4 linked regions of the Saccharomyces cerevisiae S288C genome follow. The protein of the gene in region 1 interacts with the protein of each later gene in a biochemical or structural test. Each region holds a gene or a part of one and is shown in the gene's direction. Other genes may lie near its edges.

The links.
Region 2: the proteins of MCM10 (region 1) and MCM6 form a complex in vitro, tested with the Saccharomyces cerevisiae proteins (4 studies listed by BioGRID).
Region 3: the proteins of MCM10 (region 1) and MCM5 form a complex in vitro, tested with the Saccharomyces cerevisiae proteins (3 studies listed by BioGRID).
Region 4: the proteins of MCM10 (region 1) and MCM4 form a complex in vitro, tested with the Saccharomyces cerevisiae proteins (3 studies listed by BioGRID).

The regions. Positions count from the first base shown.
Region 1 is NC_001141.2:59,447-66,687, reverse strand, and holds MCM10 (Mcm10p), read left to right. Parts: upstream 1-3,959; coding exon 3,960-5,675; downstream 5,676-7,241. Other genes in the region: MLP2 (Mlp2p), read left to right, coding at 1-3,660; ESL1 (Esl1p), read left to right, coding at 5,994-7,241. UniProt on the Saccharomyces cerevisiae protein: Required for DNA synthesis. Required for entry into or completion of S phase. Involved in DNA replication and seems to participate in the activation of the pre-replication complex (pre-RC) and in transcription elongation.
Region 2 is NC_001139.9:116,356-124,720, reverse strand, and holds MCM6 (MCM DNA helicase complex subunit MCM6), read left to right. Parts: upstream 1-3,813; coding exon 3,814-6,867; downstream 6,868-8,365. Other genes in the region: MDS3 (Mds3p), read right to left, coding at 1-23; YIP4 (Yip4p), read right to left, coding at 423-1,130; EMP24 (Emp24p), read left to right, coding at 1,416-2,027; ARO8 (bifunctional 2-aminoadipate transaminase/aromatic-amino-acid:2-oxoglutarate transaminase), read right to left, coding at 7,160-8,365. UniProt on the Saccharomyces cerevisiae protein: Acts as a component of the MCM2-7 complex (MCM complex) which is the putative replicative helicase essential for 'once per cell cycle' DNA replication initiation and elongation in eukaryotic cells.
Region 3 is NC_001144.5:689,710-697,552, forward strand, and holds MCM5 (MCM DNA helicase complex subunit MCM5), read left to right. Parts: upstream 1-1,845; coding exon 1,846-4,173; downstream 4,174-7,843. Other genes in the region: protein phosphatase regulator PIG1, read right to left, coding at 1-1,320; mRNA splicing protein SMD2, read left to right, coding at 4,669-4,673, 4,764-5,091; DBP9 (ATP-dependent DNA/RNA helicase), read right to left, coding at 5,337-7,121; cleavage polyadenylation factor subunit YSH1, read right to left, coding at 7,447-7,843. UniProt on the Saccharomyces cerevisiae protein: Acts as a component of the MCM2-7 complex (MCM complex) which is the putative replicative helicase essential for 'once per cell cycle' DNA replication initiation and elongation in eukaryotic cells.
Region 4 is NC_001148.4:595,056-603,221, forward strand, and holds MCM4 (MCM DNA helicase complex subunit MCM4), read left to right. Parts: upstream 1-1,694; coding exon 1,695-4,496; downstream 4,497-8,166. Other genes in the region: RLF2 (Rlf2p), read left to right, coding at 1-1,241; ATP20 (F1F0 ATP synthase subunit g), read left to right, coding at 4,815-5,162; AGC1 (citrin), read right to left, coding at 5,594-8,166. UniProt on the Saccharomyces cerevisiae protein: Acts as a component of the MCM2-7 complex (MCM complex) which is the putative replicative helicase essential for 'once per cell cycle' DNA replication initiation and elongation in eukaryotic cells.

The DNA.
Region 1 (7,241 bases):
TTGGCCCGTCAAGTTAAACTACTTCTTTTAAATACATCTGCGATACAGGAAACGGCATCGCCGTTATCGCAAGATGAACTGATATCATTAAGAAAAATACTGGAGTCGAGCAATATCGTAAATGAAAATGATTCCCAAGCCATCATTACGGAAAGACTGGTTGAATTCAGTAATGTGAATGAGCTACAAGAAAAAAATGTTGAACTCTTGAATTGCATTCGGATTTTGGCTGATAAATTAGAAAATTATGAAGGAAAACAAGACAAGACCTTACAAAAGGTAGAAAACCAGACCATTAAAGAAGCAAAAGATGCAATAATTGAACTGGAGAACATCAATGCGAAGATGGAAACCCGGATAAATATCCTATTAAGAGAGCGGGATTCTTACAAATTGCTGGCATCAACTGAAGAAAACAAGGCCAACACAAATTCTGTCACTTCTATGGAAGCAGCCCGTGAAAAGAAGATTAGAGAACTTGAGGCAGAACTTTCATCTACAAAAGTCGAAAACTCTGCTATTATTCAGAATTTAAGAAAAGAGTTGTTAATTTATAAGAAATCACAATGCAAAAAAAAAACAACTTTAGAGGATTTTGAAAATTTCAAGGGTTTGGCAAAGGAAAAAGAACGTATGTTAGAGGAAGCAATAGACCACCTAAAAGCTGAACTCGAGAAACAAAAATCATGGGTTCCATCATACATACATGTTGAGAAAGAAAGAGCCTCAACTGAACTGTCACAGTCTAGGATCAAAATCAAATCTTTGGAGTACGAGATTTCCAAACTGAAAAAGGAAACTGCCAGCTTTATACCCACGAAAGAATCTTTAACTAGAGATTTCGAACAATGCTGCAAAGAAAAAAAAGAATTGCAGATGAGACTAAAGGAGTCTGAAATCAGTCATAATGAAAATAAAATGGATTTTAGCTCGAAAGAGGGCCAATACAAAGCCAAAATCAAAGAATTGGAAAACAATTTGGAAAGATTACGTTCCGACTTACAATCAAAGATACAAGAAATAGAATCGATACGCTCATGCAAGGATTCGCAACTCAAATGGGCTCAAAATACCATCGATGATACAGAAATGAAAATGAAGTCCTTACTAACTGAATTATCAAATAAGGAAACAACGATTGAAAAACTTTCATCAGAAATAGAGAACCTGGATAAGGAACTAAGAAAAACCAAATTCCAATATAAATTCTTGGATCAAAATAGTGATGCAAGCACGTTAGAACCGACTTTGAGAAAAGAATTAGAGCAAATCCAAGTTCAATTGAAGGATGCAAACTCACAGATACAGGCTTATGAAGAAATTATATCATCGAATGAAAATGCGCTAATAGAATTGAAAAATGAACTAGCAAAAACCAAAGAAAATTACGATGCTAAGATTGAACTAGAGAAGAAGGAAAAATGGGCGAGGGAAGAAGATCTATCTCGTTTACGCGGAGAGCTCGGTGAAATAAGAGCTTTGCAACCGAAACTAAAAGAAGGTGCATTGCATTTCGTTCAACAATCAGAAAAGTTGAGGAATGAGGTAGAAAGGATCCAAAAAATGATAGAAAAAATTGAAAAAATGAGTACGATTGTCCAACTGTGCAAAAAAAAAGAAATGTCCCAATATCAGTCCACAATGAAGGAAAATAAAGATCTATCTGAATTGGTTATCCGCCTTGAAAAGGATGCGGCTGATTGCCAAGCAGAATTAACAAAAACCAAATCCTCATTGTATAGCGCTCAGGATTTACTCGATAAACATGAAAGGAAATGGATGGAGGAAAAGGCTGATTATGAAAGAGAATTGATATCTAATATTGAACAGACGGAATCCTTGCGTGTTGAAAATTCGGTATTGATTGAAAAGGTTGATGACACAGCAGCAAATAATGGCGATAAAGATCATTTGAAGCTAGTTTCTTTGTTTTCAAACTTACGTCATGAAAGAAATTCTTTAGAGACGAAGTTAACCACCTGTAAGAGAGAATTGGCATTCGTTAAACAAAAGAACGATAGTTTAGAAAAAACGATAAATGACCTGCAACGAACCCAGACTTTATCGGAGAAGGAATACCAATGCTCTGCAGTTATTATTGACGAATTCAAGGATATCACGAAAGAAGTTACTCAAGTTAACATTTTAAAAGAGAATAATGCCATCTTACAAAAGAGTCTCAAAAACGTAACCGAAAAAAACAGGGAAATTTATAAACAATTAAATGATAGGCAAGAAGAAATTTCTCGATTACAGCGTGATCTCATACAAACAAAAGAACAAGTTTCGATAAATTCTAACAAAATTTTAGTATATGAAAGTGAAATGGAGCAATGTAAACAGAGGTACCAGGACTTATCTCAACAACAAAAAGATGCCCAAAAAAAAGACATTGAAAAGCTAACTAATGAGATTAGTGATTTGAAGGGAAAACTTTCAAGCGCTGAGAACGCAAACGCTGACTTGGAAAATAAATTCAATAGGCTAAAGAAGCAGGCTCATGAAAAATTGGACGCATCTAAGAAACAACAAGCTGCTTTAACTAACGAACTCAACGAATTAAAAGCAATTAAAGACAAATTAGAACAAGATCTACACTTTGAAAACGCTAAAGTTATTGATCTAGATACGAAGCTCAAAGCACATGAACTCCAATCAGAAGACGTCTCGAGAGATCACGAAAAGGACACTTATCGGACATTAATGGAGGAAATTGAATCACTCAAAAAGGAGTTACAAATTTTCAAAACTGCGAATAGCTCATCTGATGCATTTGAGAAATTGAAAGTTAACATGGAGAAAGAAAAGGACAGAATTATTGACGAAAGAACGAAGGAATTTGAAAAAAAATTACAAGAGACCTTAAATAAGAGTACAAGCTCAGAAGCAGAATACAGTAAAGATATCGAAACATTGAAAAAGGAATGGCTAAAGGAATATGAAGATGAAACGTTAAGGAGAATTAAGGAAGCAGAAGAGAATTTAAAGAAAAGAATAAGGTTACCAAGCGAGGAAAGGATACAAAAGATCATTAGTAAGCGTAAAGAAGAATTAGAAGAAGAATTTCGAAAGAAATTGAAAGAAAACGCGGGAAGCTTAACGTTTCTTGATAACAAAGGTAGCGGGGAAGATGCCGAAGAAGAATTATGGAACAGTCCATCGAAGGGGAATTCTGAGAGGCCGTCGGCTGTCGCTGGCTTTATAAATCAAAAAAACCTTAAACCTCAAGAACAATTGAAGAATGTGAAGAATGACGTTTCCTTCAATGACAGCCAGTCAATGGTTACAAATAAAGAAAATAATATCGTGGATAGTAGCGCTGCTGGTAACAAGGCCATTCCAACCTTTAGTTTTGGTAAGCCATTCTTCTCCTCTAATACATCATCTCTTCAAAGTTTTCAGAACCCATTCACAGCATCCCAATCTAATATCAATACGAATGCCCCCCTACGTACACTCAATATTCAACCTGAAGTTGCAGTCAAAGCGGCGATTAACTTTTCCAACGTAACCGATCTAACTAACAATAGCACCGATGGAGCAAAAATAACAGAAATTGGAAGTACATCTAAACGGCCAATTGAGAGCGGTACATCTTCTGATCCAGACACCAAAAAGGTTAAAGAGAGTCCAGCAAATGATCAAGCTTCCAACGAGTGATGTAATATTAAACAATGTAATTATATAAATATGAAACATCTACATATTTTAAATGTCACTAATGTCATTACAGAGGACATAAAGTGATTTATGACACATCCGTACTAGTAGTTAAGTATGAACAAATTTTGGGTTTATTTGCCATTTTTTTTCACGCGGGTTTCTTGGATGCGCAAACCCACCTTTTCTAACACCACTAAGAAATATCAACTTTATAGGCCATCGAAGATAAAGGAACGTAAGTTTGTCAATTCAACCTCACATTTTCAACGCACATTAAGCACTTGGTTCGTGGAGAAATGAATGATCCTCGTGAAATTTTAGCGGTTGATCCGTACAATAATATTACTTCTGATGAAGAGGATGAGCAAGCCATCGCGAGAGAACTTGAATTTATGGAACGAAAGAGGCAGGCCTTAGTGGAACGATTAAAAAGAAAGCAAGAATTTAAGAAACCCCAGGATCCTAATTTTGAAGCCATCGAGGTACCTCAATCTCCTACCAAAAACCGTGTGAAAGTGGGGTCTCATAATGCTACACAACAAGGCACAAAATTCGAAGGTTCGAATATTAATGAAGTAAGGTTATCTCAATTACAGCAGCAACCAAAACCACCAGCTAGTACAACCACATACTTTATGGAGAAATTTCAAAACGCAAAGAAGAACGAAGATAAACAAATTGCCAAGTTTGAAAGCATGATGAATGCAAGAGTACATACGTTCAGTACCGATGAGAAGAAATATGTGCCGATAATCACAAACGAATTAGAAAGCTTTTCAAATCTTTGGGTTAAAAAGAGGTACATACCTGAAGATGACTTAAAACGGGCTTTGCATGAGATCAAAATCCTTCGGTTGGGCAAACTTTTTGCTAAAATTCGCCCACCTAAATTTCAAGAGCCTGAATACGCCAACTGGGCCACCGTAGGCCTCATTAGCCACAAATCGGACATCAAATTTACATCATCTGAAAAGCCAGTCAAATTCTTCATGTTCACCATAACGGACTTTCAGCATACACTAGATGTTTATATCTTCGGGAAAAAGGGTGTAGAAAGATATTATAATCTTCGCCTGGGTGATGTGATAGCAATATTAAACCCAGAAGTACTACCATGGAGACCCTCAGGGCGAGGAAATTTTATCAAATCCTTCAACCTTCGAATTAGTCATGACTTCAAATGTATCCTGGAGATAGGTTCAAGTAGAGATTTAGGTTGGTGTCCCATAGTGAATAAAAAGACTCACAAAAAATGTGGCTCTCCCATTAACATATCTCTTCATAAGTGTTGCGATTACCATAGAGAAGTGCAATTTCGTGGAACAAGTGCTAAAAGAATTGAATTAAATGGTGGGTACGCCTTGGGCGCGCCTACGAAAGTGGACTCTCAACCAAGCCTATATAAGGCCAAAGGGGAAAACGGGTTTAATATAATCAAAGGTACTCGTAAGCGCCTGTCAGAAGAGGAGGAAAGACTTAAAAAGAGCTCTCACAATTTTACGAATAGTAATTCTGCCAAAGCATTTTTCGACGAGAAATTTCAGAATCCAGATATGCTGGCAAACTTAGACAATAAAAGAAGGAAAATAATAGAAACTAAGAAATCGACAGCACTGAGCCGCGAACTAGGCAAAATTATGAGAAGGAGGGAATCCAGCGGATTAGAAGATAAGAGCGTCGGAGAGCGACAGAAAATGAAACGAACCACAGAAAGTGCCCTCCAGACAGGGCTTATCCAACGCCTAGGATTCGATCCCACTCATGGAAAAATTTCCCAAGTACTCAAGTCTTCTGTATCAGGGAGCGAACCTAAGAACAACTTACTCGGTAAAAAAAAAACTGTTATAAACGATCTCTTGCATTACAAGAAGGAAAAAGTCATTCTCGCACCTTCAAAGAACGAATGGTTCAAGAAAAGAAGCCATCGCGAAGAAGTTTGGCAAAAACATTTCGGATCCAAGGAAACTAAAGAAACTTCTGACGGTAGTGCCAGCGATCTTGAGATAATATAAATAAGTATTGGTGTGCTTTTCAGGGCCCCAAAATGGTATTACTTTTGATGGACAATGGCGCGGGTAATGATTGAAAAATTATGATGAAAAATTGAGTGATTTTGGTTGCAATATAGGGAATCAATCCTTAAAGTGAGAAAGAACAGAAGAGAACATCTTGTGAGACACAAAACGCTCCGAAAACATCTCCCTCTTGGGCGCATCCTTCATTCTGTACTCTTTACTTCACTTTACAGTCGTTTTTGGCCGATCTTTGGCAGCATCTAACGTTATTTTTAGGTTCAATACATAACAACAAGACCACGGATATCGCATAATATGGTTGACCTAATGGTGCCGGCGAATGATGACCCTAGTAATGAAACTGATTATTCTAGATCCAACAACAACCACACTCATATTGTGAGCGATATGCGCCCGACCTCCGCCGCATTTCTTCATCAAAAGCGACATAGTTCTTCGTCGCACAATGATACACCAGAGTCGTCGTTCGCTAAAAGAAGGGTGCCTGGAATTGTAGATCCCGTAGGGAAAGGATTTATAGATGGAATAACTAATAGCCAGATCTCTGCACAAAACACACCCTCCAAAACTGATGATGCATCTAGAAGACCGAGCATCTCTCGCAAAGTTATGGAATCGACACCACAAGTTAAGACCAGTTCTATTCCAACAATGGATGTTCCTAAATCTCCATATTATGTGAATAGAACTATGCTTGCTCGAAATATGAAGGTTGTTTCTAGAGACACTTATGAAGATAACGCAAATCCACAAATGAGAGCTGACGAGCCATTAGTCGCTTCAAATGGTATTTATAGCAATTCGCAACCCCAAAGCCAAGTAACTTTATCCGATATTAGAAGAGCTCCTGTAGTTGCTGCTTCACCCCCGCCGATGATAAGGCAACTTCCTTCGGCGCAGCCAAATCAGACGTTTATTAAAAAACTGCAGGAAATTTATAAAATCATAGTGGTGCAGGAAACCGAGTTACAACAAAGATGCCTTTATTTAACCACCTCTCAAACCACAGAACTAAAAAGTTTGTGGGCAATATACAGACTGAACACAGAACTGATCAAAAATTACATCAATTTCATCATCACTGCATTATTAACTACACAACCTATAAACGACTTGATTATGGGCCAAGAAATTTTGGATATTTACAGAATAGAAAAAAGATTGTGGGTTTATGGTATAATAACCTTCTTGGATGTACTAAAGAACTTTTCGAACTTTATGGACCCAGAGGTATGTTGTCAGTTTATTATATACGCTTTCATCTCTGTCTCAAATATGCTTGAGGATATACCGTTGAAATATTCTATTTTGTGGAGACAAAGATTGGGTGATTTGTCTAGAATGGCAATATCGCTGTACCCATCAGGATTCATAGATTGGAGGCTAAGCGCCGAATATTGGTATACCGAATCAATGAAATACATATATGGGTGCGGAAAACTATATTATCATATTGCCACAGTTCAACAGAACAGTTTAGAAGCGTTCGTAAACTTGGGAAAAAGTGTTTTTTGTCAGGATCCCTTCACTCCGTCTCAGCAA
Region 2 (8,365 bases), on another chromosome or scaffold:
GTGGATGGTTGTAATAAAGGCATACTACGCTAAAGCAGGTGCAGATTGTTACTTGTCCTTTGGTTTGCACGCGCGCTATGTTATCTTATATATATAGTAAAACAGAAAAGTCTCTAAAGCGCCTTCACCATGTAATGTTTGCAAGTGTGGCTATAGGCACAGGAAGGAGAAGAGTTCTCAAACAATTGTGGTAAACGGACGCTGTGAACTTGAAATAGACTTTGCCAGACTCTGCGCTACCAATTCATCAGAAAGCCTAATCTTGCTTTGAACTTCTCTTACACTCCACGGAGTCTGCCTTAGCCACACGCCAGCCCCTGTGAGCGTCCTCTTTTTTTTTTTTTTCAGAACTTTCTGCCGTGGCTCGCGAGATAGGCAATTCTATGTCCATGATATTGGGTTTTATACATATGTAACTAGTGTTATAAAATAGTTGACAACCAGGCCATGCCAAAAAGACAGAGTGCCAGAGGGTATATCTCGATAATGGTCTTGCTCTTGGTAACCCACGAAACGGCGGCCACAGACCACATCAGGCACAGCGCCATGACCACCAGTTTCACGAGCGACAGGACCCTCACAATCCAGCGATTTTGCTTTCCAATATGGTAGGCCAATGGAAGTAGTATCTGCGAGACTAAGGCATTCAGCACTTGTGGGAATAAGCAATACCCGGAAATGGAGATGTACGAAATCAGCGACACCCTCTGGTGTGGCTTGGTGAGTCTCAGATGCAATGCCATCACCAGCAAAATGAACCAACTAGACACAAATAGGCTCGAGAACAGCGACCGCGCATGCGATACAAATAGAGAATACAATATGATAAACGCAAGGGGCGCCCACAGGTCGCAATTGGCTGAAATGTCGTTATCAGCCGCCCCTATCCCGTCATCAGAGGGGCTAAAGAATGAGGGGAAATGCGGGTATACCACTTGTTTCAGTCTGGAATTAATCTCCACCACATCTCGCTTTAGTGTTTGCAGCACAGTCTCGTCGAGCGTCCCTCTGCTGCCTGAATTCTGCATAGTTCCGCCTATGTTGTCAGCAACACCCCCGGAAGCAGCCAAAGGTGCATCTGGTTCTATGAAGTCGGGCTCAATCGTAGTGTCTTCTCTTCCGTATGACATTTTGCCTGCCCTCTTGTGACATATCTTTCTACAAATATTGCTAAAACAGCTTCATTTGCTATTGTAAAAGGGGACGAAAAATCACTGTGAGAAAATCATCACTCCGGGTAATCCAATTTTCATGAAAAAAGACGCGAGGAAAGTCAGAAAAGTCGTGCAAAACAGCCTGAGAGATCGGGTCGCTTAAACATTTTGACACGAAACTTATAATGAAATAAAAAGCTATACTTGGTGAAACTGCAATCTTAATAGTATCCCTCCGCACAAAAATACACACGCATAAGGATGGCCTCATTTGCTACTAAGTTTGTCATTGCTTGCTTCCTGTTCTTCTCGGCGTCCGCCCATAATGTCCTTCTTCCAGCTTATGGCCGTAGATGCTTCTTCGAAGACTTGAGTAAGGGTGACGAGCTCTCCATTTCGTTCCAGTTCGGTGATAGAAACCCTCAATCCAGTAGCCAGCTGACTGGTGACTTTATCATCTACGGGCCGGAAAGACATGAAGTTTTGAAAACGGTTAGGGACACGTCGCACGGTGAAATCACATTGTCTGCTCCATACAAGGGACATTTCCAATACTGTTTCTTGAACGAGAACACCGGTATCGAGACAAAAGACGTGACTTTCAACATTCATGGGGTGGTATATGTGGATTTGGACGACCCAAACACCAATACATTGGATAGTGCTGTCAGAAAGTTGTCCAAATTAACCAGGGAAGTCAAGGACGAACAAAGTTATATTGTTATTAGAGAAAGGACGCATAGAAATACTGCAGAGTCGACCAACGATCGTGTTAAATGGTGGTCCATCTTCCAATTGGGCGTCGTTATTGCAAACTCTCTTTTCCAGATATACTACTTGAGAAGATTCTTTGAGGTCACATCTCTAGTCTAAGTAAAGCAGGAAAATGTAGTTCATATCTATTTACTTTTGCCTACATACGATTACATACACGATTGGATAACCTGAAGTCGCGAATAATTCTCGGTTTCATACTTTTTACCTTGATCCTTCCACTGTTTTTCCCTGTGCCAATTACATGTAAATAAATATATACATATATATGGTCCAGGCGCGCCATAAAACAAATACAGGTTGTAGCGAATCAAAAAATGGGAAATACATACGAAAAACTTGAAAGAAACAAGTACCACAGGACATGCTGTGGTCCGTTTTTCCCCAGAGCACTTTTATGTGGGACTCTTAGAAGGGAAATAGCTCTGTTCATATAGAACAAAAAAAGAATAGCCCTGTAGGGGGCTCGAACCCCTAACCTTATGATTAAGAGTCATACGCGCTACCGATTGCGCCAACAAGGCTAATTCGTTGGAAAACGTCCCCATTTCAGGGAAACATAGCTCACGATGTTAATAACTGATTTGTAGCCGAGCCACATTGTATCAACGCGTGATTAACACATGTTTGGAATATACTGTTGGAACAAGAATCAACTAGTGCTCATATTAGCAATATATTACTATATACGGTGTAAGAAGATGTCCACTATAGTCAGCCATATTCTTGATCTTACGAAAGGGAACTGTGATGTAAAATTTGTGACACTGTGACACCTTCTAGTGAAATATAGGGCATTACCAAAGTCACTAATGAGTAAAAATACCAATTACTGTCCGTAGTTCGTCAGATTAGAATCCACTATATTTTCTTTGATTGGGAGTTAACGCTGCATACTTGTCTTGGGTACTGCGTTAACCATAAATCACATAAGCGTCATTCATTATCGTACCTCTGGGTAAGTGTTTTTCAGGAGTTTTTATATATAATATGCTGGCCCCCAAGGCGGATGAGGACTGTATACGGTTTTGACGTTAAAGTGTTATATGAATCGCAGTCGCATACACTAGTGGACCCCTAGTTCCGCGATACGTAGTTGACCCTCAGTACAGAGATTCCCACGATTAACGGGTGTACTGCTCCTGACTAATGTAATTTTGAGTTCACCTGTTGATGTGGTGCTGATACTGGCACCAGTACTAATGTTTGGAAGAACTCCGTAGCATTAAGTGGAGAGATTAATCCGATACTGAGCTGAATAGTTGGTTTCACTCCCGCAAAAAGATATCAATACAGTTTGCTAACAACTTGGGAAACCCTGATGAGAAGAATTAGCGGTCATCCTGAGAAATAGGTGACCATTTAAATGGTCACTTGAATTCGATTTTCCAGTAAGGGAAGTGTCATTCGGAATCCAGAATATACCAGAAATAAGCAATTTTGCATGATAGTGCTGTTATCCTTTCTTGTGTTTTATACGATATCATACATCACCCCATTACGTTATTTATCTTGCATTTCAGTTTTTACTGGGTTTACCCTTTTCGCGATTTATATCATATTATCACCGCACATAATATACTAGTAACATTACTATTCGTCGACAAACAATAGCTTGTTTTGATTCCAGTTCTCATAACATTTGTGTACCTATTCTTTTGCCGTTCCTTCGCTATTTGGTATTGTCATCTAAGTTCGTCTATTAAATTTCCTTTTTAGGAAAAGCGCCTAATAGGCCTTTCTTGAAGCTTTTTTTTTTTCTTTCTTTAATCTACAATAATAACAAAATATTTCATTCTTAAGTGATTTACAGCGAGTATCTTACACTTCGCCACCGGTGGATAGGAAAAATAGACTTACCAAAGGTTAAAACTGGTTTTTTTCAATGTCATCCCCTTTTCCAGCTGACACACCAAGCAGTAATAGACCTTCCAACTCCTCTCCGCCACCATCGTCGATAGGTGCTGGCTTCGGAAGCAGTAGCGGACTCGATTCGCAAATAGGCTCTAGGTTACATTTCCCAAGTTCTTCTCAACCGCATGTCAGTAATTCACAAACAGGCCCTTTTGTTAACGATTCCACTCAGTTTAGTTCTCAAAGGTTGCAAACCGATGGTTCCGCGACTAATGATATGGAGGGAAATGAACCTGCCAGAAGCTTCAAAAGTAGAGCTTTGAATCACGTTAAGAAAGTTGATGACGTTACTGGTGAAAAAGTCCGTGAAGCGTTCGAGCAGTTTTTGGAAGACTTTTCCGTTCAATCCACTGATACTGGTGAAGTTGAAAAAGTTTATAGAGCTCAAATTGAATTTATGAAAATATATGACCTAAACACCATTTATATAGATTATCAGCATTTATCCATGAGAGAAAATGGTGCTCTAGCTATGGCTATCTCAGAACAATATTACAGATTTTTGCCTTTTTTACAAAAGGGTTTAAGAAGAGTAGTAAGAAAGTATGCACCTGAATTGTTAAACACAAGTGACTCATTGAAGAGATCCGAAGGTGACGAAGGTCAAGCGGATGAAGATGAGCAACAGGACGATGATATGAATGGGTCGAGTCTACCAAGAGATTCTGGATCATCAGCCGCACCAGGGAATGGGACATCTGCCATGGCAACGAGGTCAATAACAACTTCTACGTCACCTGAACAGACGGAACGTGTTTTTCAAATCAGTTTCTTCAATCTACCAACAGTTCACAGAATTCGTGATATAAGATCTGAAAAGATTGGTTCACTATTGAGTATATCAGGGACAGTGACAAGAACATCTGAGGTCCGTCCAGAATTATACAAGGCAAGCTTTACGTGTGATATGTGCCGTGCTATCGTAGATAACGTAGAACAGTCCTTCAAGTACACTGAACCGACATTTTGCCCGAACCCATCATGCGAAAATAGAGCCTTTTGGACATTAAATGTTACAAGATCCAGGTTTCTTGATTGGCAAAAAGTCAGAATTCAAGAAAATGCTAACGAAATACCTACAGGCTCCATGCCGCGTACGCTGGACGTCATTCTTCGAGGTGATAGTGTCGAAAGAGCCAAGCCAGGTGACCGTTGCAAATTTACGGGTGTGGAAATTGTAGTACCTGATGTTACACAATTGGGGCTACCAGGTGTGAAGCCAAGTTCAACATTAGATACTAGAGGTATTTCGAAGACTACTGAAGGTTTGAATAGTGGTGTTACTGGTTTACGCTCTCTTGGTGTTCGTGATTTGACATACAAGATTAGCTTTCTGGCATGCCATGTTATCAGTATTGGATCAAACATTGGTGCAAGTAGCCCTGATGCAAATTCTAACAACCGAGAAACTGAACTACAGATGGCTGCTAATTTACAAGCTAATAATGTATACCAAGATAATGAAAGAGATCAAGAAGTATTCTTGAACAGTTTGAGTTCAGATGAAATAAATGAGCTGAAGGAAATGGTAAAGGATGAACATATTTATGATAAATTGGTCAGATCTATTGCTCCAGCTGTGTTTGGCCATGAAGCCGTAAAGAAGGGTATCTTGCTTCAGATGCTCGGTGGTGTTCATAAGAGTACTGTAGAAGGTATTAAGTTAAGAGGAGATATCAACATCTGTGTTGTTGGTGATCCCTCTACTTCTAAGTCTCAATTTTTAAAATACGTAGTGGGATTTGCACCAAGATCAGTTTACACTTCCGGTAAGGCCTCGTCGGCTGCTGGTTTAACAGCTGCGGTTGTGAGAGATGAGGAAGGAGGTGATTATACAATTGAAGCAGGTGCTTTAATGCTTGCTGATAACGGTATTTGTTGTATCGATGAATTTGATAAAATGGATATTTCAGATCAAGTTGCCATTCATGAAGCTATGGAACAACAGACCATCTCTATTGCTAAAGCTGGTATTCACGCTACTTTAAATGCAAGAACATCAATTCTAGCGGCTGCCAACCCGGTAGGTGGAAGATACAATAGGAAACTATCACTGAGGGGTAATTTAAATATGACCGCACCGATCATGTCCAGATTTGATTTATTTTTTGTTATTCTTGATGACTGTAACGAAAAAATTGATACCGAATTGGCATCTCATATCGTTGACTTACACATGAAAAGAGACGAAGCCATTGAGCCGCCATTTAGTGCAGAACAACTACGTCGTTATATCAAATATGCACGTACTTTTAAACCAATATTAACGAAAGAAGCCCGTTCCTATTTAGTCGAGAAGTATAAGGAACTGAGAAAGGATGATGCCCAGGGATTTAGTAGATCGAGTTATAGAATCACAGTTAGGCAACTTGAAAGTATGATTAGATTATCAGAAGCTATTGCGAGGGCTAATTGTGTCGATGAAATTACTCCATCATTCATTGCAGAAGCTTACGATCTTTTAAGGCAAAGTATTATTCGTGTTGATGTGGATGATGTGGAAATGGATGAAGAATTTGATAACATAGAGAGTCAAAGTCACGCCGCTTCTGGAAACAATGATGACAATGATGATGGGACTGGGTCAGGTGTAATTACGAGTGAGCCACCAGCAGATATAGAAGAAGGACAAAGCGAAGCTACAGCTCGTCCAGGTACAAGCGAGAAGAAGAAAACAACGGTGACGTATGATAAATATGTGTCCATGATGAACATGATCGTTAGAAAGATTGCTGAAGTAGATAGGGAGGGTGCAGAAGAACTAACAGCTGTGGATATAGTTGATTGGTATTTATTACAGAAGGAAAATGATTTGGGTTCGTTAGCAGAATATTGGGAAGAGAGAAGATTAGCGTTCAAAGTCATAAAAAGGTTGGTCAAAGATAGGATTTTAATGGAGATTCATGGTACCAGACACAATTTAAGAGATCTTGAGAATGAGGAAAATGAAAATAATAAAACTGTTTATGTTATTCATCCAAACTGTGAGGTTTTGGATCAATTGGAACCACAGGATTCCAGCTAATTCAGTGCACTCTTGCGGATTTTCATATTTCGTTTCAAGTATCGTTCACGTTGTAAATTCCTATCGTGTGCATTTCTCTTTGTGGGAGAAAAATATCTTACATAACTTGGCTCTCAAATCAAGTTATAATTGTTGTATAAAGTTGTACTCTTAATGAAAAAACAAAATATTATATTTTGGCTTCCACTTGCAGTCTTTTACAAAAAGAAAAAATACTTCGAAATTTAAGCAATACAAAAATACGTACGTCCTTTTTTCACCTTATATATATTCTTCCAACGTATTTACCTCTCTATTTGGAAATACCAAATTCTTCGTATAAAGTATCACCTAATCTCTTCAGACCTTCAGTCAGTTTCTCAGGAGAGACAGCTGCATAGGTACCTCTGAAGAAAATTATGTTTGGATTACTGACTTCTTTAGATTCAGCGGGTTGAGGAGGTTCCGTCTCACCCTCACTCTTGAACCAAGAACCGGGAACCACTAAAACACCACGTTCAACCACTTTGTGGTAAAGACTCTGTTCTAGCTGGTAAGGGTCTGAGTTGTATTTTGTTTTAAACTCAGGGTGGACAGATGCGTCAATGTTCACGGTGAAAAACATACCTGCAATTGGAGGATTGATCACGAAAGCATCAGATTGTGGTAGATACTTGTAAAGGGCATCGATGGCACAGTCACGTTTCAAAGTGTATTCATGACGCAGGCCAAGCAACCAGTCCAAGTAACCCTTTTGACCCCACCTGGATAGCGTAGCGTTGACCAAAACTTGTGTAAAACCTGCTGGGGCTTGAATCGTCATTTCATGCAAACTCAAGTAAGGCTTCAAGATTTTGGATGAACCAGTAATCCAACCCAATCTTGTCCCTGGGGCCAAAACTTTTGAAAAGGAATCCATTCTAATAACACGGCCTTCTGTATCCAAGGAAAGGAAAGTGTTTGCCAAGGACTTCAAAAATTCGTCATGGTCCTGCTTTGGAGAACTTTGTGCCTTCTCTCTTTCCTTCAAGTCTTTGATGTAGGGATTCATTTGTAAGAAATAATAAGGTTCATCTTCCACAATTAGGAAGTCGTACTTTTGAGCGATCTTGTAAATTGCCTCCTTTCTATGGTCTGCAATGGAAGTACCAGTTGGATTTTGGCCCGTTGGAATAGTGTATAACAACTTTGGTTTAGGAGCACCAGGTGTCCAGTTTTCCATGACTTTAGCTAATTTTTCAGGAATGATACCATCAGCGTCAATTGGCACGGGGAAGGTAATGACACCTTGAGCCTCTGCAGAAGCCAATGAAGAGGAAAAAGAATGTGCCTCAACTAAGATGACATCACCTCGGTTACAAAAGACTCTTAAAGTAGATTCCCAGGCATTTGTGTTACCTGCAGTGGCTAAAACGTCCCAGTCCTTATACTTCAAATCGTGGATAATCTTGGTATGATCTCTAATGAAGTTTAATAGTTCAGGTTGACCAGCACTGAACCCGTATTGCAAAGCTCTTGA
Region 3 (7,843 bases), on another chromosome or scaffold:
ATTAGTTTGGGAATCAGGCGGTTCAAAGAAATAATTAAATGGTTCAATTTCACAATCAATTGTTTCAGCTTTGAAAGTTTGGGATACAGGTTCGGTTTTACAAGCCGCTTTTGTTTCAAACGATTGATAAAATTTGTGCTTTAACGGGGAGTCGTTGTAGTAATCTGTATCTTTAATGAATTTTCTGAGAGGCTTTTTAGAATTTTCATTATTTTTCGACATAGTAACCTCTGCATTGCTAGCCCCCATTTTGGAAGGCCCAAGATTGGAATTAAATATCGATGAATTCGAAACCGCACGATTTAGATTTATTGCTGACAAAGAGATCGTTATTTCATAGTTTTTATAGTCATTATTATCGTAAAATGATCTATATTCGAAACCATTTACATCATAACGACAACAGAACTGCAAATTCAGGAGACAAGTAGTTTTCCTTTCAAAAAAGTTAGTGTAAATCAAGTTTTTTGATATTAGATTTAACTTCAACGCAGATATATCAATAATAAATTTGAATTCGTCAACATGAGGGGTGACAGACTTGTTGTAGTGTGCATTAATATAGTGAATATCTGCCCAGTTATTTAAAGTAAATTTTATCTCTATTTTTTTCTCGAAGTTCAAATTATTGACAAATATAAGGCCCCAGATTTGACAGTTACCAAAATTATTGCTACAAATATCCTCGTAGCTTACAGGATCAGATAGTTCTAATGAATGAACCTTTATATTTTGTCCATTTAAGTATTTGAAAATCTTGTCTTCCAACCCAGTAACGTCCACTTTATAGTCACTTTTGAATGGATTCAAATTATTACTGACCAGTTTCCAATCTGCCATATCGAATGTCTCCTCTTCACCAAAGCAGAGAATCTCCTTTTCAATGAACATGCTACGATCATGCATAAGCATTGCATTATCCTCTACGTCACTCTCGTTGTCATACTCAACATCCTTATTGTCATATTCTAAATCACTGTAATCTAAAATGTCTAAACTATAACGATGATCTTCACCTCCAATGAAGGGGAACGTTAGTGGAATGGCATTGTTATGCAAATTTCTTGTAAGATTTGAAGCGGCTTTTTCTGATATCGAGATAGGCGCCAATTTTGTGTTGAACTTTTTGACTGTGTATAAATGTGCAGCAAACCTTACCGATTTCCCTGATGATGAAGATGATGTCGACGAAGATGCAGATGTAGAGTCTTCTAGTGGTGAAAATGAATTAGAGGTTGTTGAGGAAACAAAAGAAGAAGTGGAGATTGTTTTTGCGAGTTTCAAAGACGGTTTAAGCTTCTTACCATGGCTGTAAGGCATTTGTAAAAACAAAGAGTAAAATTATTGACCTTATAACAAGCGTCAAAGAAACGAGCATAGAAGTATTATACGGCCTTTATTTGTCAGATTATACTCCAGACTTAGTAAAAAATTCAATTAAATTCCAAACTGCTTACCCCAGATTTAGTGAATAAGAGCCCTTTATTCTACCCGCTTATCTCTGGATGTAAAACAAATAAACGCGTAATAGAGCAGTCAAACTAACAGCAGTAAACTGTCAATATCAAAAACGTAACAATTGATTCAAATCAGTTTATTCTAAGCCGCCTATGCCAGCCTTTAATTTTCTTCTCCTCCTCTTCACTCCCAGGTTAAGCCATTTAGTTTGTTGCTATGCGGTGTGTGGCGTGTTTCCCTTTTAGGAAAAGTGATTACTTGCAGTTTCGCGAAATCTCGAAGAATTTTTTCAACTTATTGAAAGAACATGAATATACTTGTTAACGTGATTAAACGTTTTATCAGAACAACCTAAGAGTATCTCCTTGGTGAATTAGAAGCCAGATAATGTCATTTGATAGACCGGAAATATACAGTGCTCCTGTTTTACAAGGAGAATCTCCTAACGACGATGATAATACTGAAATCATAAAGTCCTTTAAGAATTTCATTTTGGAGTTCAGACTTGACTCGCAATTTATTTACAGAGATCAGTTAAGGAACAACATCCTTGTGAAGAATTATTCTTTAACGGTTAACATGGAGCATTTGATCGGATATAACGAAGACATATATAAGAAACTATCAGACGAACCTTCAGATATCATTCCATTATTCGAAACCGCGATCACACAAGTGGCTAAAAGGATAAGTATTCTAAGCAGAGCTCAATCTGCTAATAACAATGACAAAGATCCAGAAAATACTAGTATGGATACTGATTCTCTCTTATTGAACTCTTTACCAACATTTCAATTAATTTTAAACTCCAATGCAAATCAGATTCCATTGAGAGATTTGGATTCTGAACACGTCTCCAAGATTGTCCGTTTATCAGGTATTATAATATCCACGTCAGTTTTATCTTCCCGTGCCACGTACCTTTCTATAATGTGCAGAAATTGCAGACACACAACATCAATAACAATCAACAATTTCAATTCTATCACAGGCAATACCGTCAGTTTACCACGTTCTTGCTTATCTACGATTGAGAGTGAATCTTCTATGGCAAACGAGTCGAATATTGGTGATGAATCGACCAAGAAAAATTGTGGACCTGATCCATATATTATTATCCATGAGTCTTCAAAGTTTATTGATCAACAGTTTTTAAAATTACAGGAAATCCCAGAACTGGTTCCAGTAGGTGAGATGCCTAGAAACTTAACAATGACTTGTGACCGATACCTAACAAACAAAGTTATTCCTGGTACGAGAGTCACTATAGTAGGTATTTATTCCATCTATAATTCTAAAAATGGTGCCGGATCCGGAAGGAGCGGGGGTGGAAATGGAGGAAGTGGTGTTGCTATTAGAACACCTTATATCAAAATATTAGGTATTCAGTCCGATGTAGAAACCTCCTCTATTTGGAATTCAGTAACTATGTTTACTGAGGAGGAAGAAGAGGAATTTCTACAGCTAAGTAGAAACCCGAAGCTTTATGAAATTTTGACCAACTCTATTGCCCCCTCTATTTTTGGTAATGAAGATATAAAAAAAGCCATTGTATGTTTATTGATGGGTGGTTCCAAGAAGATATTACCCGATGGTATGAGGTTAAGAGGTGATATCAATGTACTATTATTAGGTGATCCAGGTACCGCCAAATCTCAACTATTGAAATTTGTGGAGAAAGTGTCACCTATTGCGGTATATACATCTGGTAAGGGATCTTCTGCAGCTGGGTTAACTGCCAGTGTACAAAGAGATCCGATGACAAGAGAATTTTATTTGGAAGGTGGTGCTATGGTGCTTGCCGATGGTGGTGTTGTATGCATCGATGAATTCGATAAAATGAGAGATGAAGATAGAGTGGCCATTCATGAAGCTATGGAGCAGCAAACAATCTCCATCGCAAAAGCTGGTATCACTACAGTGCTAAATTCTAGAACTAGTGTTTTAGCGGCTGCTAATCCGATATACGGCCGGTATGATGATTTGAAGTCTCCTGGTGACAACATTGATTTCCAAACTACTATTTTATCCCGTTTTGATATGATTTTTATTGTTAAGGATGACCATAATGAAGAACGTGATATTTCAATAGCTAACCACGTTATTAATATTCATACAGGAAATGCTAATGCTATGCAAAACCAACAAGAGGAAAATGGCAGTGAAATTAGTATTGAAAAGATGAAACGTTACATTACGTATTGTAGATTGAAATGTGCACCAAGACTTTCACCGCAGGCCGCTGAAAAACTGTCATCGAACTTCGTCACCATTAGGAAGCAATTATTAATCAACGAATTAGAGTCAACGGAAAGGTCGTCTATTCCAATTACCATTCGTCAATTAGAAGCTATTATTAGAATAACAGAATCATTAGCCAAGTTAGAATTAAGTCCTATTGCACAGGAGAGACATGTTGACGAAGCTATTAGATTGTTTCAAGCTTCCACAATGGACGCAGCGTCTCAGGATCCAATTGGCGGCTTAAATCAAGCAAGCGGAACATCTTTGTCAGAAATCCGTCGTTTTGAACAAGAACTAAAAAGAAGATTACCTATAGGCTGGTCTACTTCTTATCAAACTTTGAGGAGAGAATTTGTAGATACACATAGATTTTCTCAATTAGCACTGGATAAGGCCTTATATGCCCTAGAGAAGCATGAAACAATTCAATTGAGACACCAGGGACAGAATATTTACAGAAGTGGTGTATGACAACAATAAAGTCTTAGCTTGACGCCTTTTCTACTTGTTTGCATGTAATGAATCTAAAAAATTCGCTACAAATACTTCATTATTATATTTCTATATAAATTCTGTAAACGAAATTATACTTTTTGAGGTTTCATCTGCGTCTCATATTCTTTTTGTATAATAAACGCACAGACTTGATATGACCGTCAATCAAAATAATTCAAAGCTTCTTAAAAAAGAAATTGAAATCAAAGACATACGAAAGAAATTAGAAAATAGAGGTCGATTTACCACTGAACAATCCTACAGTACATGAGCTCTTGAAGTGACTTTATGGGGACCAATTTGTCCTATCGTGATATTACTACGGGTAATACTACCAAATGAAAATTATCTTACTCAAAAGGTATGACAAGAACATCATCACTAGAACATCATCATTCTTAATAGCAAGCGCCATCACGTTTGCCCCGCCTTTGACAGTTGATTAGAGGAGTATTATAAAACCGTTTTATCATGTCGTATGTTTGATCTTAACCATTTTTACATCCTATAATTTGGAGTGAATTTTTATATACTAACTTAAAAGTAATTGATTTGTATCTTTCCAGTTCACAAATAATTGATCGTCCAAAACATGAACTCTCTAGAGCAGAATTAGAGGAACTAGAAGAATTTGAATTCAAACATGGTCCAATGTCCCTGATAAATGATGCTATGGTGACAAGAACACCTGTGATAATCTCATTAAGAAACAATCATAAAATAATAGCGAGAGTGAAAGCTTTCGACAGGCATTGTAATATGGTTTTAGAAAATGTGAAGGAGCTTTGGACAGAGAAGAAGGGCAAAAATGTAATTAATCGGGAAAGATTCATAAGTAAACTATTCTTAAGAGGTGATTCAGTTATCGTTGTGTTAAAAACCCCTGTTGAGTAAAAAGTAAGACAAGCAGCCCTCAATCAACAAGGAAAGCAAATCATCGTAAGAAACTTTACAGTCAGCGGAAAGCCTTTTTTTATTTTGGAAGTAAGACCAATTATTATTGGCTGATTTTCTAGCTCTTGCGAAAGTATTATATTCAAGAAAACGAATAAAGCATCTATATTATCACATTTAACTAAAGAGCATTTTTAATAAGTAGATTTTTACATAAAATATAGAATAAATATCAATATTATTAATCATTTGAAGTTCTTCAACGGGTCTACTTTACCATTCTTTGGCTTACTGACTCTTCCCTTTTTATGTGAATGGCGCTTCTTAGCATTGTGGAAAGGAACAAACTTGACTTTGGTTCCATTTCCTCTGGCTGATTCAGGAAGCAAGTAATCTGGAACACGCTTTAAATGCTGTTGCACTCTTGCTGGATGTAATTCTTTATCGTGTCTTAAACTTTGTAGCTCTTTTGGATTCTCCTCAAAATGTCTTTTCAACTTCTCACTTGCCAATAGTTCTTGTTTCAACTCTTTGACCCTAGCTTCTCTAATGGCAACTTGAGTAACAGCACGGAAACCGTCTTCCATTCTGTAACGGAACGCCTCGACCTGCTTTTGATCGAATTTGTAAGGCTGTAATTCTAATCCAAGTTTGCTCTGTTGTTTGATGATTCGTGAAAGAATCCTTTCATCCTTCTTTGCTGTCTGTAGCATTGATGGCTTATGCTTACCAAATTCTTTCAGTGGGACTACGAATGAAATTGCAGTACCGGTCTTTCCGCCACGAGCAGTTCTACCTACTCTATGCACGTAGGACTTAGCCGTCGTAGGTAAATCGAAATTGAGGACACATGCAACATTTTTGAAATCAACACCACGAGAAACACCATATTCCTTATCTTTCTTCACTTGGACCTTCTTTTTCTTGCTTGGTTTCTTATCGTTCTCAGGCTCGCCTTCCAAGCTTTTTTCTTCTTGATTTTCTGTATTGTGCCCTTCTTCTATTTCGTCATCTTCCTCTTTTATGTACTCGGTGTCATCTGTGGCAATCAATAGTTGGTAAACGTTTTTATTGAATTGGTCAACAATATGTTGCCTCGAATTAACGGGTAGCTCGCTGTTTAAAATACAGGACTTGATACCAAATTGTTCCATAACTAGCTTGAGCCTATATCCTCTGTCAATATTATTTACAAAAATTAATGTTTTACCCTTGATTAAGTTAAGTTTAAAAATGACATAGCATAGTAAGAATTTGTCAAATTCACTGACTTTAACGTAATATTGAAGTAATTTGTTTTGGTTCTTATTTATTTCCTCGTCATTGAATTTAAGAATAGCTGGAGAACGACAAAATTTTTGTTTCAAAGCCTGTATATCGTCATTTAGGGTTGCACTCATCAAAAATGTTTGTAAATTTTTTTTCAATGGTAAGTACTCTCCAATTTTGTTTAAATCATCTTGATAACCAAATGTTAACACTAAATCCACCTCATCAACTACTAAAAATTTTAGTTCGTTCAATGAGATAGAATTAATCTTTGTTTGCAACAAATCCAATAATTTACCAGGTGTACCAACTATGATTTCTGGTTGATCCATAAGTAGAGTGCTCAAAACTGAGTCAGACATATCGGATGATATGTTCAGAGTTCTTATATCTTTTGAACAATATAAGACTAGTTTTTCTAAAACATTATATACTTGTTGAGCCAGTTCTCTTGTTGGAACAAGTATAATACCTAGTGTACCATTTTCCTCTCCGTTATCAATTGTTTTTTTATATTCTAGGATAGTTTCAATTACAGGAATGAGGTATGCCAAAGTTTTTCCGGAACCTGTAGCGGCCTTTGCTATAATATCTCTCTTCTGTTGTAAAGCCAAAGGAATAGCATGTGATTGAATTAATGTTGGGTACTGAAATCCTATATTCTTAATAGCTTGTAATAAACGAGAGTCGAGATGAAATGCTTCGAACGTTGTAGAATCGTCAATATAAGCGCCTTCCACAGACTTTTTCTCATAGCTCATTTTTTTGATCTTTCGTTGCAGTTTTGGCTTAGTCTATTTCTTTTGTGAGATAAATTGTAGATTGACTATAACTATCAGCCAAAACAAAAGGCTCTTACTCAATGAAAGAAATTAGAAGAATCGAAATGAAATGAGATGAGATGAGATGAGATGAGATGGTCTAGAAGAGTTATTCTTTATGTTCGTGAAAAAAAATTTTTAAAATTTCATCTCTAGGTTTCATTACGTAAAGAGTGATTAAGGTAAACAATAAAAGGCAGTTCTAACCAGATTTTGGTTTGGTATTACTTCTATAAAGTAGTCTACTTAGTATGCGTAACTGTTTTTAACATAGCGGTGTGACCAAATTACCACCAATATTTAAGAGGCTTTCCACCCTACCTTTCAAAGGATTTGAATTACATTCTAAAATTTTCATATTGTTGAAGTCAATCTTAGCAGTGCTTTTACCTATGGTAACCACTCCAGTTATAGTTTCCTCTTTATTACTTGCATATTCATCTTTATTGAGAAATAAAGTAAAACAGTCACCAAACTGTTCTTTAAACAACCTTGAGATTTGCTTCACCCTCTCAACTTCATCAATCTTACCTTGTGCATTAGACTGCACATTGTTATGATCATGATCATCACAAGAATGACTCGAAAGCTTGACACTGGCGGGAGCTGAATCCACATTCATAAGTATAGCAATAATGGAGTCTGCTACAGTGTCATTCATT
Region 4 (8,166 bases), on another chromosome or scaffold:
AGGAAGAAGCCAGATTAGAAGCCAAAAGAAGAAAAGAGGAGGAAAGATTGAAAAAGGAGGAGGAAATACGTTTGAAAGAAGAAGCCAAGGAAAGAGCACAATCCCGTATTGGTAACTTCTTTAAAAAACTAAGCGATTCTAATACGCCTGTGGTTGAAAAGTCGGATTATGAAAAATTTTTTCTACCTTTCTATGCTAAAGATGGAGTTAGAGTCAGTAATAAGTGGAAACTAACAAAAGTGGAGCTGGAAGGTAGCAAAAGAAAAATAGATGATGAATTACTGAACAGTAAAGATAAAACAAGTAGTGACGACTTATTGAATTGGTTACAGTCTAGAAGATTACCTAGAGGACATAAAATTAAACGTAAAGCTGTTGACGTTCTACAGCAAATGCCTTTGAAGGAGAAAACAGACGATGAGCTCCAATCTTTACTTGCACAAGTTCCGCACAAATATATAAAATTCTACGAAAATGTTAGACCTCCGTTTATCGGAACCTATTCTATGGACTTTACTTTGCCACCAAACGATCCCTTTTCTACGAAAGGTACTGGATTCAATTATGATTACGATTCTGACGTTGAATGGGTTAATGAAGAAGAAGAAGGCGAAGTCGATAACTTAGAAAGTGGTGAAGAGGAGGAGGAGGAGGAAGATGATGAAGACGTACCTAGCGAAGGAGAGTTTGACGGGTTTCTAGACAGCGAAGAAAACAGTGATTTGGATGGCCTACCCTGCGCCAAGAGAAAATTTGTAGGCCCATTGATACCAACAATATGCCTAAAATCCAATTTTGAAAACTTATCAGAGGAAAATAAACGATACTTACAACAACTCAAGGCCGAAGTTATCATAGAAACCGACGGGCCAATCGATCCATTCAAAGAACCCAAAACATCGTCTCTACCATCCAAAAGAAGTAATTCCGACTTACAGGCACAGACCGCTAGCCAATCTCAAAGTCCCGAAAAGAAACAAAAAGCAATGATTACAGACCCCATGGACTTACTTCGACTTTTTGATGGGGTTCAAGACAGCACGTTTTCTTTGGGTACTGTGACTGAAATAGCACAGAAAAATTTGCCGCAATACAACAAACAAACAATTAAAAACACCATAAAGGAATATGCCATAAGAAGTTCTGGAAAGGGTGATTTGCCCCGCAAATGGGTAATCAAAGACGCACAAAACTGGGAGAATCTTCGAGCCAATGCAAATATGCCAACCCCGTCTTTGTAACTTGAACGGATCTTTAGTATATAGAAACATACAGATAAACTGATTATTTATTGGTATACATGAAAAAGGCGACAACACTACGATCGACAGTCAAGCCTTTTGGACTTTGAATAAAATCCAGCACTTCTCGCATGCAACAAAAGAAAATCTTCTATATAAGCTGAACTACATTTATCTGTGTCAGCCAACTGCATGTTTTATATCACTTCTTTTTGGAATATTACGAGTAGATTCATGAAAACGCAAACACTTGGTTTACTCTTTCGGGAAATTTAATGCTAGTTCGCCGCCTCGAAAATGAAAAGAGAAGAAGAGACCAGAAGAGCAACTTCGCATTGGCACTGTTTATTTCTTTAAGAACATCTTCAATACTAAATAAGACAACCCATCTTCAGTTATTTTTACTCTTGGTAGAGCCCAACTTAGGATCCTTTTGAACCTCAAGAACTTAAAATGTCTCAACAGTCTAGCTCTCCAACAAAAGAGGATAATAACTCCAGCTCCCCCGTTGTGCCTAATCCTGATTCTGTTCCACCACAGCTTTCTTCCCCAGCTCTATTTTATAGCTCCTCTTCATCACAAGGTGATATCTATGGTCGCAACAATAGCCAGAACTTAAGTCAGGGAGAGGGAAACATCAGAGCTGCTATAGGTTCTTCTCCACTAAATTTTCCATCTTCTTCCCAAAGACAAAATTCCGATGTTTTCCAATCTCAAGGCAGACAGGGCAGAATTCGTTCTTCTGCGAGCGCTTCTGGAAGGTCTAGATATCATTCTGATCTGAGAAGTGATAGAGCACTGCCTACTTCTTCCTCTTCTTTAGGCCGTAATGGTCAAAACCGTGTACACATGCGAAGAAATGATATTCATACATCTGATTTATCCTCTCCAAGAAGAATTGTGGATTTTGATACTAGATCCGGCGTGAATACTTTGGATACTTCTTCTTCTTCTGCTCCTCCATCGGAAGCCAGTGAACCCTTGAGAATAATTTGGGGTACCAACGTCAGTATCCAGGAATGTACAACTAATTTTCGTAATTTTTTGATGTCTTTCAAGTATAAATTCCGTAAAATATTGGATGAAAGGGAGGAATTCATTAACAATACTACCGACGAAGAACTATACTATATCAAGCAGCTTAATGAAATGAGAGAACTTGGTACCTCTAATTTAAACTTGGATGCTAGAAACTTACTTGCTTACAAGCAAACAGAAGACTTATACCATCAACTATTAAATTATCCTCAAGAAGTGATTTCTATCATGGATCAAACTATCAAGGACTGTATGGTTTCCTTAATAGTAGACAACAATTTGGATTACGATTTAGATGAAATAGAGACCAAGTTTTATAAAGTAAGGCCTTACAATGTAGGTTCTTGTAAAGGTATGCGCGAATTGAATCCAAATGATATTGATAAATTGATAAACTTAAAGGGTCTTGTCCTGAGATCAACTCCGGTTATCCCTGATATGAAGGTAGCGTTTTTCAAATGCAACGTCTGCGATCATACAATGGCAGTGGAAATTGATAGAGGAGTTATACAAGAGCCCGCTAGGTGTGAACGTATTGATTGTAATGAACCCAATTCCATGTCACTGATTCACAACAGGTGTTCATTCGCAGATAAACAAGTCATTAAGTTACAGGAAACTCCAGACTTTGTGCCTGATGGACAAACGCCTCACTCTATCTCATTATGTGTTTACGATGAATTAGTGGATTCTTGCAGGGCGGGCGATCGTATTGAGGTGACTGGCACGTTCAGGTCCATCCCCATTAGAGCTAATTCCAGGCAACGCGTACTAAAGTCGTTGTATAAAACATACGTCGATGTGGTCCACGTTAAAAAAGTTTCAGATAAGAGGTTAGACGTCGATACTTCTACTATTGAACAAGAATTAATGCAGAACAAGGTAGATCATAACGAGGTCGAAGAAGTAAGACAAATTACTGATCAGGATTTAGCAAAAATTCGCGAGGTTGCGGCAAGAGAAGATTTATACAGTTTATTAGCCCGCTCTATTGCCCCAAGTATTTACGAGCTAGAAGATGTCAAGAAGGGTATATTACTTCAGCTATTTGGCGGCACGAATAAAACCTTTACCAAGGGTGGCCGTTATAGAGGTGACATAAATATTTTACTTTGTGGGGATCCTTCTACTTCCAAATCGCAAATTTTGCAATACGTTCACAAAATTACTCCTCGTGGTGTGTATACTTCGGGTAAAGGTTCATCTGCCGTTGGTTTAACTGCTTATATTACAAGGGATGTCGACACAAAACAACTTGTTTTGGAAAGTGGTGCATTAGTATTGTCTGATGGAGGTGTTTGTTGTATTGACGAGTTTGATAAAATGAGTGATTCTACAAGGTCCGTCTTGCACGAAGTCATGGAACAGCAGACTATTTCAATCGCAAAAGCGGGAATTATCACAACACTTAATGCCAGAAGTTCTATTTTGGCCAGTGCTAACCCAATTGGTTCACGCTACAACCCCAATTTGCCTGTGACTGAAAATATTGATCTACCGCCCCCACTACTTTCGAGATTCGATCTGGTCTATCTTGTCCTTGATAAGGTTGATGAGAAAAATGACAGAGAACTAGCCAAACACTTAACAAATCTTTACCTGGAAGATAAGCCCGAACATATTTCTCAAGACGACGTGCTACCAGTTGAATTTTTAACGATGTATATTAGTTATGCAAAGGAGCACATACACCCAATAATCACCGAGGCCGCTAAGACTGAGCTTGTTCGTGCTTATGTAGGAATGAGAAAGATGGGTGACGATTCGAGATCCGATGAGAAGAGAATCACAGCTACCACAAGACAACTTGAAAGTATGATTCGTTTGGCTGAGGCGCACGCCAAAATGAAATTGAAAAACGTCGTAGAGCTGGAGGATGTTCAAGAAGCCGTTAGATTAATTAGATCAGCCATAAAAGATTATGCAACAGACCCTAAAACCGGTAAAATCGACATGAATTTAGTTCAAACAGGTAAATCAGTTATTCAGAGAAAACTACAGGAGGATTTGTCAAGGGAAATTATGAATGTTTTGAAGGATCAGGCATCAGACTCAATGTCATTCAATGAGCTTATAAAACAAATCAATGAACACTCTCAAGATAGAGTTGAGTCTTCTGATATCCAGGAAGCCTTGTCAAGATTGCAACAAGAGGACAAGGTCATTGTCCTTGGCGAGGGTGTAAGGAGATCAGTTCGCCTGAATAACCGTGTCTGATGCTGTCTACTACAATCATTCCCTGCGTAACAATTAATAAATACTAATTAATTATAGCAAGTTTGTATTTTTTACATCCTTATGCTTTGTAACACTATTCAATACTGTATGTAGGCTCGATTGAGTGGGCGGCTTTTTTCTTATTCCTGATTGGCTGAAAGAAAATATTGTTAAACGCACTAAATTTATCCCGAAGGATGATTACATTTAAAGACCGAAAAATGAAGATGCAAAGATCCCTCATATTTTCTACTCCAGTCCAAATCGACAAGATAAACCTGCCGATAAATCATATTTCAGAACGCTAATCAATTCATCATGCTAAGCAGGATCCAAAATTATACCAGTGGGTTGGTTTCTAAAGCAAATCTTTTGTCATCAAAGGCTTTATACTATGGTAAAGTCGGTGCCGAGATTTCAAAACAGATTTATTTAAAAGAGGGTCTTCAACCACCAACTGTTGCCCAGTTCAAATCAGTGTATTCGAACCTTTATAAGCAGAGCCTAAACTTTGCTCTAAAGCCTACAGAAGTTTTATCGTGTTTAAAAAACATCCAAAAGAATGAACTATTAAAATATGGCGCATATGGTATTCAGTTGATAGGGTTTTATTCTGTCGGTGAAATAATTGGAAGAAGAAAATTAGTGGGATATAAACATCACTAAGCTTTTTAATTCTATCTATTCGCAAAACCCTTGTATATTCGTTAATTAAATTAAATCAATGTACAAATAGAACAAAACTAGAAAAAAGAATATATATTCATCTCAATTCTATTTATTTTCTTTTCATGACATACAATGGCATTAAAAGCGATATCGAGTTATATTACATTAGCTTCTTGCCGCCAGTTATTTATGAAATAGGCCAATATAACTTTTCTGTAAAAAAGAAAACTTGACCTCAGAGCTTTCATTACACTTATTAAGAACAACATACTTGTTGCACTATAGTAAAAACTACAGTGAAATTGATCTCAGGATCATTAGTAATTTTTCTCACTATAAGAAAAAAAAAAAAACATATATTTTGCTATGAATTATAATAAGTAAATATATACATATATATGTACAGAGAAACTGACGAAGAAAATAAATCACCCGTTAATGCTTCTTAGGTGCTCTTGAAAGTTTTTATAAACTGAAGAGTCAAACCTAGAAAAGTTATTGTCCAAATCAATGAATGTTTTCGCAATTTGACAGCTTTTATAGTAATAATTGGCATGTTTTCTATCATCAGAGTAAAACTTTTGCTGTGGGAGTTCACCGTTACTATGAACTACTGTCTCTTCATTGCCTGCGTCGTCATCGATACAAAATCTCTTCCTACCCTCTCTGCTTTTTAATTTGTTATCGGGGGAGGGAATAAAGCCCTTGAATAATTCATAGGCGGCCAGAGTGAACCCAAATTGGGGAGAACTTCTTAGGACACGGGCTCCACCACCTTTGAAAAAGCTTCTAAAGCTCTCTTCCTTTAAGATAGTTCGGATAGCATGAAATATACCGTTATACTTTGTCTCACCTTTTCGAGGATCTATCTGGAGCCTTGTTTTTATAACATCAAAAGGAGTAGTCAAGAAGGCAGCTGGCATACCAGCAATGGCACCGGCAGTTAAAAGCTCCCATGTTTTTAATCGATTCCTCTTTGTTTTATCATTTGGATCAAAATCAAAGAGATCTTTTTTTAAATGTGCATAAGTGGGAAAATAAATAGCAGAGAATGGAACATCTCTCATTAAACATGCGGCTACACCATTGTACAAGCCCCTCAGTCCTAATTTTTTGACTATTTGAGTGGCAGTTTCATTGGCTTGTTGTATGTTTTCACCAACATAGTCGGATTGGACCTGTAGCCTAATTTTTACAATCTCTAACGGATTAGTAAATATAACTTGACATGCACCAGCTGAAGCGCCAGAAATAATTTCAGGAAAAAGGCTTAGCTTGCCGTTTTTATCAGTCAACCTGTTTCTCATAAAATCATTGACAGTCAATTTTATCGCCTTTTCAGGAGCAACTCCTATTAATTGTGGCCCTAAGCCAGAGTAGAGACCTTTTATTCCTTCGCGGGATATAATCTTCAACAAACAATCAATTGAGTTTTTGTATTGGGCTAAAGATCTTTGGGCTTGCATCCTTGTTTTTATAAAGTCTATTGGGTATACTACAGTTGCACCAATACAACCCGCAATAGAACCCAAGGAGAAATTGTACAACGAATCGAAAATTGGATAAAAGTAGTAATTAATATACAATGACTCATTTTGATTTTTTTGCAATTCCATTTGGTGAACTAAGTCGTTCAGGTAATTTGGGTTCAAAATTTTCATGAAATCTTCAATTGTTAAGTCAGAACGCATCGTTGCTTTATCTTTTTTACCTCCAAATACAGATTCAAACAAGCCAGTACTCGCTTTTGAAGCTTTTTTAACACCAGAGTCTTGGTCAAATCCATCCGAGAGATCATGATAATAGTCATTAAAACTTTCTAAATTTTTTCTGGATCTGCTTACTCCATGCAAATACTCATTATGGATAAAAAAATCAATATCTGAATCATAATGGTGATCATTTAATAGCTCGTCATCTCGATCTTGATTTCTCTTTCTTAATCTTCTGTTTTCCTTTGAATTTGCGACGATAGAAAATAGTAGGTTGATTTGGGAAGGAGAGAACTCAATGATATTGTTTACTTTGTTATACTGGGCGTTTAAAACTGTCATAAAGTCATTTTTAGTAACTATTTGTTCCCTAATATCCTGCTCATTCAAATTATTTTCAGTAACATACTTGTGAAATATTTGGTTCAGTAGGTCAAAATTTTGAAATAAATAAAATATATCCTTGAATACATTGTACGGAATGGAATTATTGTCCGCTTTTAGTAATTCGGTGTTTGATAGATTCAAGGAGGAAAATATATCTGCAGACACCCTGTGAGAGTAAAATAACCTTAGAAGATAGGTGAGTTGATTTTTGCTTAGGGCTAAACGATGCCCTTGTGAGTCCATCTGTGCCAACCTATCAAAACCTATAAATATTTTTTCATTCTTAAGATCATTTTGTAAAATCGTGACCAGAGAGTTTAAACTCAAATACTCTTCATTTTCATGATAACATTTGTAAAATTTCAGAAATCGAAAGTCATTCCAATCAAGTAGTAATTTGTTATCTTTAACAAAATTATCATCAATAGATTCGTGCAACAGGCGGATAGTATCTTTGAATTGGTTCAGATTCAAAAGAAGATCATCAAAGCTTAGAAATCTGTTACCATAATTAATTGACTTAATTCGATCATCTGCAGCCTTTAAATTAAACGACGAACTACCAAGCTCTTTTTTTTGTTTTGCCTTCAAATTCTCTACATCAAATTTCCTAAAGAACTCATATAGAATAATGAGATGATAATTATCATATTCTAATAAATTATTAAAATAAAACCAATCATTAAGCGTCAGATATCCCTTGTTTTGTTCATCAATAGCGAAGAAAATACACCCGAAAACGTTCTTGGGTATCTGGTTCAAATTGAACGAATGGTCCGTAAACTTCGAATAAATAGTCTTTGAGCTAGATATCAGTTCAATGAAATCGTCGTATGTTAAAATTAGTTCTCCTGTAAGCTTCTCCGTGTCAGGTTTCCCATTTCCTGCTGTGAGTTTACTGG